Linked DNA regions of Lonchura striata. The protein of the gene in region 3 purifies or fractionates together with the protein of the main gene of each other region. This does not show direct contact. Links are inferred from orthologs where the notes say so. Each region holds a gene or a part of one and is shown on either strand. Other genes may lie near its edges.

The links.
Region 1: the proteins of FBXW7 (region 3) and NAP1L1 purify together in Homo sapiens (affinity purification with mass spectrometry, with the first as the bait; 3 studies listed by BioGRID). This does not show direct contact. The link is inferred for Lonchura striata from reciprocal best matches to the Homo sapiens genes FBXW7 and NAP1L1.
Region 2: the proteins of FBXW7 (region 3) and YAP1 purify together in Homo sapiens (affinity purification with western blotting; 4 studies listed by BioGRID). This does not show direct contact. The link is inferred for Lonchura striata from reciprocal best matches to the Homo sapiens genes FBXW7 and YAP1.

Annotation. Positions count from the first base shown.
Region 1 is NC_134607.1:46,986,660-46,990,404, reverse strand, and holds the start of NAP1L1 (nucleosome assembly protein 1-like 1), read left to right. Parts: upstream 1-1,588; 5' UTR 1,589-1,719; intron 1,720-3,745. UniProt on the Homo sapiens protein: Histone chaperone that plays a role in the nuclear import of H2A-H2B and nucleosome assembly.
Region 2 is NC_134604.1:42,222,063-42,225,807, reverse strand, and holds the start of YAP1 (transcriptional coactivator YAP1), read right to left. Parts: upstream 2,678-3,745; 5' UTR 2,420-2,677; coding exon 2,096-2,419; intron 1-2,095. Other genes in the region: CFAP300 (cilia- and flagella-associated protein 300), read right to left, coding at 3,410-3,541. UniProt on the Homo sapiens protein: Transcriptional regulator with dual roles as a coactivator and corepressor. Critical downstream regulatory target in the Hippo signaling pathway, crucial for organ size control and tumor suppression by restricting proliferation and promoting apoptosis.
Region 3 is NC_134606.1:43,090,007-43,093,751, forward strand, and holds the start of FBXW7 (F-box/WD repeat-containing protein 7), read left to right. Parts: upstream 1-707; 5' UTR 708-849; intron 850-3,745. UniProt on the Homo sapiens protein: Substrate recognition component of a SCF (SKP1-CUL1-F-box protein) E3 ubiquitin-protein ligase complex which mediates the ubiquitination and subsequent proteasomal degradation of target proteins.

The DNA.
Region 1 (3,745 bases), on a different chromosome or scaffold from region 3:
AAGACAGGCAAGGTGAGCCATTGCCTTGTGACTCACTTGTTTACAGTTGATTGCCACTTTAGCTGATTGAATAAAGGGAACGCCTGCAAATGGCAGGTAATTGTTGTTGCAATAATAGCAATCGATTGCTCATTTTTACCAAATGCCTTCTGTACATCTCTGCCCTCTTTATATTCCCAAGCACCAAACACCTCGGATAAATTAGACATTAATATCCAGTACAATTTTAAAAGGGTTGCAAGTGGGGGTACAGGTATTTTAATTTTAAAATCATGTGGCATCTCCATCTCTGTTTCTCCCTAATTCCTATCACTTGGACTATGCTGTGCAATCCTTGTCCTGAATCCTTCTCTTTCCTACTTACAGCTTTGTGGTCTCAAACTATTTAAAACTGAATGATAGAAAGAAGCCCACCTTTAAAAATTTAGTGTGCTGGGGGAATAGGAGGACATCCTTAAGTTCTCTCCATGAACTTCTGTCTTGCAGATGGGATTTATTTCCCACAAAGACATCTGGTTTTGGGGCCTGAGATTTTACTGCCAAACACTGGAACAAAGCTGGTGTGGCACCATATGGAATAGAATCTTTTATAGTTTCCTTGTTCTTAATATAGAATGTACTGCAGATACTTGGCAGAATCACCACTTTTTCTTCTTTTGCTTTCTGTTGTCATTTTCATTATTTAAATAGATGCATTCAGGGTGCAGATTGCTTAGACAAATAGATGGAAGAATTTGGTAAATTCCAAAGAATACACATTAAGTATTTGGCAATATATCCTCAGCAAACAGCTCTTATGCCATCACACCGCGTGTCTGGCCATCTCACCTAAGTGTATTTGGAATCATTGGCTCCTTCCAACCAAGAGGTTAGAAGTCTCAAAGACATTTACATTTCTGTAAGTTTAGTGTAGATCACAGATGTCCTCTCCAAGTGTGCTACGTGCTATTACTCAAGACTATGAGCATGGAGACAAATGCTAGGAAGGAATACGTTTTAGGAACGGCTTTACTTGGAGCTCGGAAACAGGCATTTGCAGGAAACCAAGTCCGGCAGGCAAGTACGGCAAGTCAAAATGGGAAGGTTGGAGCTGTTGCTGCCTTTGGCCGCTCACCCCAGCCAAGGCAGAAATGGCCGAAACTCTGATGAACCAGCAGGTGCTCAGCTTGGTTTTTCAAGATAAGCTTGTACTGACTGTGGTTTTATGGTACCTGCGGCCTGTGTGAATAGAGTTTACCTGTCCGAGTAACTTCTATTTATGCTCAGGTGTCTTCAGACACTCTCGAGTTCGGGCTCGGGGCAGCACCGAAGCGGCCGGGGAGCACGGCTACCTGCCCGGCGGCCGGTGCGCCCTGCCCGGCGGCCGGGGAGCGCGGCGCCCTGCCCGGCGGCCGGTGCGCCCTGCCCGGCGCTGCGGGGCAGCCCCTGCGCTCGGCGGGCGGGCAGCCCCGCGGCCCGGGCCGCACTCCCGGCTCCGCGCGCCGCTCGGGCCCAACCGCCTCGGCCAACGGCCGGCGCGCGCTCGCGGCCGGGGCGGGCGGGCGGCGCGAGGGCGCGCGCACGCGTTGCCATGAGACGCGGGCGGCGGGGGAGGGGGGTTACGTGGTGACGTTAATTCTATATGAGCGCGAGCGGCGGGAGCGCGGGTCCTTTCACCGCCGGCCGCGCGGCGCCTCCGCCTCGCTGCTCCTGAGTCACCGCCGCCCGCCGGCCGCGCAGGTACCGCCGGAGCGCGGCCCCGCCGCCGCCGCTCCGGGCTGGGGGCACGGGGGGCACGGGGGGCGGGCGGGGGGCGCTGGGCCCCCGCTCCCTCGCGGGAAGGCCGTGGATGCCGGCCCGGCCTAGCGGGGCCGCTGTGCTGGCGGGACGCGGGGGGCCGGCGGTGCCCGTGCCACACCGGGTACCCCCCGCGCCGCCCGCGGGGCGGCCGCGCCGCGCTGCTCGCCCCCCGGGCCCGCAGCGAGCAGCGCGGCTCGCCGCCTCCCGCGCGTCCGTCCGCCGCGCCCCGCGGAGCGCCCGGGCCGCGCTAGGCCGGGCCCGTGGCGCGGCCGGCGCCGGGGGGAGGCGGGTCGGCCCCGCAACACGTGGGCGCCCGAGCGGGGCCGCGCCCGGCGCGGCCGGGGAGCGGGAGGCTGGCGGGGCCGGAAAGCGGCGCGGGGAGGAGCGGGTGCGCGTCCGGCCGGCCGCGGGGAGGGCGCGGGAGGGGCTCGGGGCCGGTCCGGCGCGGGGCCCCGCGCGGTGTGTGCGCACATGGCGCGGCGGGCAGCGGCGGATGGCAGCGCGCCGTGGCCTTGTGCCGCCTCCCGCGCCTCGTTCCCGCTCCCGTGCGGAGCCGCGGCGCGGCTGTGCTGTGCCGTGCTGCTGGCAGGGGGACCCAGCGATTCAGCCAGCAGGCGGGCAGCTCCCGCGTCCTGCTTCACGGTAGAGTGGTGTCCGGGAGTTCAACATGTCGCTTCTCCGGATGCCTGTTAGCTGGTATCACCCTAAGCAGTGTCCCCGAGGAAGGCTGAGAAACCACCTGGAGGATTTAGTAACTACAAGTGGAAATACTAACTTGTCTTCAGCATTTATCTAGAGCTATAAAGCATACTCCGTATGTTCCATATGTATAAAACATACACTTGTCTGTTCCATATTGACTGTTTAGCGTCCTTACACTGCCAATACTTGTGAGATTTTCAATATTGAATTAAAAAGCCTACCTCATTTGCTTGCCAAAAGAAAACGCAAACCTTTTTTCAAACAACTGGTGTAATAATAATACAGCAGCACCTTCCACACTTTATCTCCAAGCTTTCTGCAGTTAGGTGTACGTTTCAAATCCTGTTGAGATACACTTAACATCTCATGTTCTATCTCATTTGTGGAGGGTAAGAGAAATGGGCATGGTGTCTGCAAGGTATGACAAATATTCGGCTCAGGGCCTCTTGGGATTTTAACATCTGCTGGTAGATGCTACATTAATTAGGCAGGAGATAGTGCCTGATAATTTTAATTACAGTCATGAAATTAAACTTGAGGTAAGAGTTAAGGCCTAAGGCTGTGAGCTGCTGAAGGTGGTTCTTGACAAAAATGTTAGTAGCTTTTTAGCAGCCTTCCTGCTGAGCCCATATTACAATGGTACACTTCAAAGCATGGGAGAAGCACTGTACTTTGATTGAAGCAAGCTGAGTGGTTTCCAGTCTCTTGTAAATCCAGAAATTATATTAATCCTTAGGGGAAGATAGCATTTAAAATATACGTACATGGAAATTTAAGTGACTTGGATGCTTGTATATGAGACAGAAGTTGAGGCTGCTCAGGCTTTGGGTATCTGAAGCATTGATAGAAGTGCTTAGAATAGGCCTCTGACACCTGAGCTTGTGTGTGTGTGTCGCACTTAGTCCTGTGAGTGACACATGTTAGCAGTCTTACTGCCCTTCACTTTTTCTGTGCTTTGTGACAAGTCATGGCGATAATTTACTCTTGGTTTCTGAGGACTGAGTATTGTAGAATGTTGGTCCTGTGCACAGGTGATAGGTTGGTGTTTTTCAGAGCTCCTGGTCTTTCTCGGACTTTGACAAAGCTAGGAAGAGACTGTTGGGAGCACACAGAAGTACGGTGCAGCATCTGTGCTGCCAGCCCATTGTTGCAAGAAGTGCCAGATCTGCTGCGGCGCTGTTTACATATACACAGTAATGCTCCCACCATCCTTGTGCATCATTTACCCCCTGCGTCACTCAGAAATTATTCCTAGGAGCAGGTG
Region 2 (3,745 bases), on a different chromosome or scaffold from region 3:
ATAGACAGACCAGAACAACATTGGCATCTATAATGAGATGCATGTATCAATCCCTGTCACACCTCTCTACAAGGTATTGCACCATAAGAGGACCCACTTACACACTGTTACACTTCTGCTTCACTCCCTCACACTTCATGTGTGCAAGCACATGAAGTTCCATGTGTTCAAATGGAAACCTTCAAGCACACATGAAGTTCCATGTGTTCAAGTGGAAACAAATCAGTTTTCACTTATATGCAGACAAAAGAAGCAAGTAGTAAATCAAGTGGAATTATAATATTTTAACTCCTGAGAATCACAGAATTATAGAAAATAGAAATCTTTTCTTTAAGCAGAATGTTTATGTGGCACAACTAAACAAAAAGGAAAAATGAAAATAGTCCACAATGAAGCAAATGATTCTCTCTTGCTTTAGCTGGATTCCAAGTTTATGTTTTAGGAACCACTGAGTGGTACTAGGAACAGAGATCGAACTAAGTATGATTTACAGGCAAAGATTAACATACACAAGGAATGTAAGGCTAAGCCTAAAAGTACAACCGAAAGTTGTATGACTATCACACACTTTTAGAGCATTTCAAACATGTTAGCTATTTAACTGCAGTTAATGTATTTAACAAGACACAGCACCAAGTGTTAGACAAATGCCTACCCATTCAGATTTGTACACAATGGAACCGCAATGAGATTTGCACAAGTTGGGAGAACACTATACATAAACCCTTATTCCTTGCTGGATTTCAGTACATTATTAAAGGTCTGCAACTCAAAAGCTAGCAAAACTAAAGAGGCAGATCAGCTCCACCCCTTCCAATTTCTTTTCAGTCTTCCTATATGAAGGCCAGACTGCTTTTTTTGAGTATTTGGAAAATGAATTAACTCCTAGGCTGTGAGAGTACGTGCCAAGGTTCAGCCTGGAATGAACTTCTGAAGTCAAGCTATAAATCGTTCAAAACAGAAGTTTAATAATGGAAATGTTGACAGACCCTTAACAACACGGGTACCAGGCACCAGTACACAGCGAGTTTCACCCTTACTGGCTACATAGATAAAGTGACAACAGCCAGTAATACAACCTATTTTATAGCTTAGTAACTAAGTTCATTACTTAATAACACTTGACTAGGTAGGCACAGTCTCCATCCAAAACGCTGGTTAACATCATTAGCTTTCGCTCGTATTCACACCAGCACTTAGGTCTTGGTACAAAAATCCCTCTGCTTAAACACCAAACGCTGCCGGAGGCCAGACAGACCCTGCCCCGCAGACCCCACCCCGCTCCTCCCCGGCCCTGCCCCCGCATCGCCCCTTCCCCCCGGCCCTGGCCCGCCCCCTTCCCGGCCCTGCCCCGCATCCCTCCCCCGCTCGCTGCGGCCCTGCCCCGCATCGCTCCCTCCCCGGGCCGGCGCGGCCGAGGCCCCAGGGCTGCGAGCCCCGGCCGCAGCCTGCAGTCGCCGCTGCCCGGGGCGCGGGCGCTGCGCCCGGCGGACCCCGAACGCCGGCAGACCCGGCGTCTGCTTCGGCAATTAACTTCGGATGTGCGTGCGTGTGTACGTGGGGGGTTAATCCCACTCAAAACAGCGCCGTCCTGAAATGGTGGAAAATCACATCCATATTTACTGTCTGACGGGGCGAGGGGGTGTAGGTTTGGCACCACTTCATCGACCCCTTCTATAGAGGGCAGGGAATTGTACCGCAAAGCGACATTCCAAGCGAAGCGTTTTCACCCAAGTTTTAGGGGCTCACCCCCACGGTCGAGGCCGAGATGGCCAAGGAGCGGATGTGGAGATCGGGGCCCCGCCGGAGACAGGGACGGGGCCGGCGCTCGCCCGCCCTCCCGCCGCGGGTCCCGGCCCCGTCGGCGTCTCGGGGCGCGGGAGGCGGCCCTGCCCCAGGGGGAGAACAAATAAAGGGGTGTGGGGGCGGCGGAGAGCCCCGGCCGGGCGCCCCCCGCCCCGCTGGCGGATTCCCGCCCCGGCCCCCTCCCCCACACGCCTCCCCCGGGAGGAGCTCGGCGGGGAGGGGGAGCTCGGCCCGGCCGGGCTGCCCCCGCCCGCCCGCGGCGCGGGCCCCTGCCCTCCCTCCCCCTCACCTGGCGGGAGTGGGCCTTGGGCTCGGGCGGCTTGAAGAAGGAGTCGGGCAGTTTCCGCAGTCGCATGGGCAGCGTGTGTGGCACGTTGGCGCCCTTGGGGTTCATCACGGCGTTGAACAGCGCCTCCAAGTCGGTCTCCGAGTCGCCCCGCACATGGACGATCTGGTGCCCCGCCGGAGGGGGCCCAGCCCCCGGGGGCTGCGCCGCGCCGGCCGGGGCCCCCGACACCGGGCCAGGGGGCTGCGGCGGCGGCTGCTGCTGCTGCGGGGCCGGGGGCTGCGCCGCCTGCGGCGGCTGCTGCGTTTGAGGCTGCCCAGGATCCATGGCTCCGTCGGGACCCCCCGGCGCTTCCCTGGCGGGGCTCGGCGGCTCAGAGCCCGGATTCCCAGTCCCGCATGCCCCGCTCCCCGGGCCGCGGGTTCGTCCTGCTGTCGCCGGTGCTTCTCACCCCTCGGTCGGGAAGCCGACCCGCCCGCGGCAACTGGCAAAACAACTCCGGCCGTGCGGCGCTTCCCCGAGCCCGGCCCAGCCCGGCCGGCGCCTCTGTCCCGGCGGCGGAAACTAACTCACACAACACACCAAACAAAAGTTCGCAGTTACGCCCGCCCGAATCACTCTCCGCCGCCGGCTCCGCCCCTCCTGAGCCCGCCCGCACCGTATCCGAGCGAGGGAGCCCGTGCTCGCAGCGCTGCTGCGCGCGCCCGCCCGCACCGCCTCCCGCCCGGGGCGCTGGGGGCGCTGCGCGGCCCCGCGGACCCCGCTCCGCCCGCGGCCCGGCCCGGCTCCGCACCGCCCCGCACCGCCCGCTGCCGCCAACCAGAACTTTTATTTCTCCCGAACTTCTATCCCAACTTCCAGGAGGCCGCTTCGCCAGGGGGTTGGGAGGGGCGGCCGCGCTTCCCTGCCACCGGCCCGGAGGGGCCATCGGGCCGGGACCCCTCCCGCCGGTCCCCTCCGTGCTATCTCCCGATTCCGCTGAGCTTTCACCGACTGCAGAGTCTCCCCTGCAGATACGCGTCGCGGGTCTGTAAAGCAGGCTCATAAAAATGACGAGACCTCTAGAGAAATACTTTTTATTAAATAACACGGGTGAGGGAAGGGGGGAAACGGCCAAGAAAACAGCTTCCAGAACTACACATACCGGAAAACTACTGTCATTAACCACACATTAACATCTGAGTGAATGACAATTACTTCTGAGCACATCATCAAGGAGTAGAGCTTTCCTCGTCAGAAAACTATGCAATGTCTACCTGAGCCCAACAGAAAGAAGGCAATCTCCATTATAAAACTGGGCACCAGCCAGGTTTATAACTAGTTTGCAAATAGGCTTTCACCGAAACAGTGATACAGAATATTCACGTGTCGCTTGCAGGGATCCACAATCAAGTAGGCAAAAGTCTGTTGGTGGCTTTTGTTTGAAGGGTAACACAGGCCATTAACATCCTGAAAGGAAGAAAAAAACCAAAACCAAAACAGTATTAGGGACAACAGAGATATCTGTAAGAGAATAAAATCTGAAGTTAATAATTTTGTTCCAGTTGTAACTGTTCATTGCACAGCAAAATAAAACAAATACACTGCAGTTTATTTAAATGGTGTATTTCCCCATGAGGATCCCAACACTACAAAATGCACAGTAATTCTGAC
Region 3 (3,745 bases):
GGCGGGAAAAGGCGGGGCGGCCACGGGGCCACCCCCTTGTCCCGGGCTGAACCGCGCGGCCGCGGCGGGACCTGCGCGGCTCCGCCTCGCCCGCCCTCGGCATCATCGCTGCGCGCCAGCACCGGGGCGGGGCGGGCCCCGTTGCCGGGTTACCGCTGTCATCCGCCCGCGCCACCGCCGCGCTCGCTCCCTCTCCCGCCCGCCCTCCCCGCCCCCTCCCGGCGCCGCAGGAAGCGAGCGGATCCCGGGGCGCTACTGCCGCCGCTGCCCCCACCGCGCCCGGCGTCCCCGGCCCGGCCCTGCCTCGCCGCCCAGCGCCCCGCGCCGCCGCTCCCCCCACATGCCGCAGAGCGGAGCGGTCGCGGCGCCGAGCCCCGCCGCCCGGCTGCCCCGCCGCGCCGCCCAGCCGGGGCCCTGACGGCCCCCCCGCCGCTGGAGCCGGGGCCCGCAGTGCATGAGAGGGAGAGCGCGGCGGGGGCCGCGGCCCGAGCCACTCGCCTCCCGGCCGGCGGCGGTGCGGGGACCGGCCCGGGGGGCGCCGAGGGGCGGCGAGGCGGTGGCTCCATGTGAGAGGACGCGGCGGCGCACCTGATCCGCCGCCGGGACAGCCGCAGCCGGGGGCTTTCCTCGAGGGCCACCAGTCCGCAGCCCGCCCGGGCGGGAGGGGGCTGGACCCGCCAGCCCCTTTGAAGTCACCCGGAGCCCGGCGGCAGCCCCGGGGCGGGGGGGGCAGCGGACCCCCTCCCGCCGGGGGAGAGGGGCTCCGCCTCGCCGTCCGCATCGCCCCGCCGGCGGGAAGGCGCGCGCGCCGCGAGCGGAGGGAGAGCCCGGCGGAGCCCGTCCCGAAAAGTGAGTGCGAGCGGGAAGAGCCGCCTTGGGAAGGGGCTGGGTGCCCCGGGGCTGCCGGCGGGGGGCCGGGGGCCGCCGTTTCCCATGCGGCTCACGTTGCCGGCCGCGCACGGTCTGCTGCCCCGCGGTCCACCCGCCGCTCCCGCCCGCCGCGGAGACGGGGCGGGAGGGGGGTGCTCCGCCACGGTCCCCGGGGAGGGCCGAGGTCTCCTCCGCAAGTTCTGCCGCCCGCTTTGTGCCGGGAGCGGCGCCCCCGCGAACAAAGGCGGCGGGCTCGGACCCCTCCGTCCCGTCCCCGCCCGGGGAGCCGAGCGGAACTGCCGCGGCGGAAAGTTGTGCAAGGTTGGGAGCGGAGCGCACGGCCGCAGGGCTGCGAGCCCCGAGGGTTTCAAACGTCCCCCACCCCGCTCCCCCGTTTTCCTTCTCTTCTCTATAGGTTGAGAGGCTCCTAACAGACCCCGCGGCTGCCTCCTGCCCGCTCATTTACAAAACACTTAGGTGGAAAATGTAGCTCTTCTTTTCACGGGAAAACGTTATTGAAGAGTTGCTTATTTTCCATGTAAAGTATTTTGAATGTGTTTTAAAAGCCAGGAGTAGTGTTGGCTCTTCCTGTTTATCGGACTAGTTGCTGCTTCATGAGGCACGAGAGTGCTCTTGCTCTTACTCCAGACCTTACTCCAGGAGTGGTTAAAGAAGGGTCTCGTTTGGGAATGGGACTGTTTGCTTGGGTTCTGTTTTGCTTTGATTTTTAGCATTTCCGCCCCGTGCATAATTTCCCGCTGAGCAAAAACTGTATCAAAACTTGAAATGTTTTAATAGAGTATCTTAACTTTCTTTTAACTGAAGCAAACAACACCTCCGTAGCTTGTCGGGGAAAAAACAATTGTGTCTGCTAGTGTTAAATTGTACTATTTGGGTGTTAAAATTTATACAGCAGTTTTTTACATGTGAGGAGGATGTACTAAAAAATGAAGAGAGTAGGTTGAATGTCGTTTATTTGATGAGACAGTGTTCAGACAGAGATCCAGAAATTGTAACTCTTGTGTGGAAACTGTTGTCTGCATGTATGAGTCCTCTCCACATCTTCCTGGAAGGAGTCTAGAAAGCCTTTGAAGGAGAAGGTTGTAGGGTTTGTCGGGCTTTCCATTAAAAGAAATGTACAGCTTGTGAACATCCTGTGGGCCAGTTGCTAGGCGCCTGCTCTCCTGCGCTTTCTTTACCAGATGCAATTGAAAGCAGAGGAAAACAAAACGTAGCAGAAATGTACGCAGTTGCTGAAATATATGGGTGTGAACAGAAGGCCATACTCCAGCATTCCAGTTATGGATGCTTGCTCTATGCTTCAGTTTGTGCAACGCTTTTGAGAGCACTTACCGCCTGTTTCCCAGCTGTATGCTTCTACATTCTGCTGAGGAGATAGCCTCTGAAAACCTGAGAAAACCTAGACATAGATAGGAATTTTAAGGTAGGCAGGGCATCTGATCTTTCACAGTTTCGTTTTGAGACACAGTTTGCTGAAGGTAAGAAGATTAATTTCTTTAGTTTGAAGTATCTCCATATCTTAAGCTTTCTGTCGTTGCTATTTTGAAAAGGGGTGTAAAGAAGTTGAACTCTACATTTGGTTCATTCCTAGCTTTTCTCAATTGCAGAACTCAGTGGTTAGGAAAGGAAGTTGCATTCTTTTCAGGCCACAGTGTTAAGAAGTTGGTAAGTTCTGTGCTAGATTTAATATCTACAGGAGCATAATGACACCGTGTCTTTTTTTTTTTTTTCCATGTGTTGATTACACTTGTTTTAAGTCACTTTCTAGTCCCAAACTTAAATCTGCCCTTTTTCCATCATCATCCAGTTGTTAATGGCAGCCTGGTTCTGTCTCTTGATGGCAATTATGCATTCTTGCTGGTGTTCCAGGTTCATAAATATCTCAAAAACATATATCACTTCATGTTTTTAATTTTTTTGTCAAGGTTTAGATTTTTCCTCCTACTGCAGCTTATATCTAACCAGTGTAGGTCCTTTGTTCAAGCTGAATAATTTACTAATACAACACTGTCTGTTTGGAAACATAAATGTTTATTAGAAAGTATGTGATTTACATTTGCATTAACTGTTAGAAAAGCTTTTACAACAAATAACTTTCTAGTTTAGGGAAAGAAATACTTTTTATCTTTAGACTTAGGCTGACAAATTAACTTTACTTCCCCTTATGTATGCACGCGGTACTTTGCAAAAGTTTAGTTCATTACTTCAATGGAATTTTTTGTCTCTGAACCAGTAAAAGAAAGGAATGGTGTGTGATGGTTTAGGCCAGGCAATGTTACTAAACAGAGAGGAATGCTACACTTCTGTCTCTTTAAAATAAACAGAGTTTTAAAAATTAGGATGGTATTTAATGAACATGTTTAATCTTCTGAATCTTTTTGTGAAGAGCACATGCAATGGCTGTATGTACATTACACTTGAAATAAAAGTAGCATAAAGATCTTATCTGCAGAGCTGCTTCAGCCTTGTCATATGTGGACTGTGTGTGTCAGGTAATTCTAGAAAGACATGATAAACTTTGCGTCAATTGCTCATGAAAATGCTCTTCCACAACAAAGTATTGTGCTTTAGTCAATTTGTGGAAACTGATGGATGGTTCAGTACTGAAATGCTCCAAGTATTCACTGGATAGACAAAATCTATTTACTGTGATCACTGCTATGGATATTAAGATAGTTTCTTGTGACAGCAAAGACTACAAAGATTTTAGATATTTGTCTGATGAAGACCTACACCCATGTAAGCGTGGAAACTGACTTACTGCCAGCAAACTTTTTGATCTTGCTTTGTGGTGGCACAGCCACTGGTTATTACACAGGCTCTTCTAGCTAAATCAAGCAAGGACAGTTTAGCC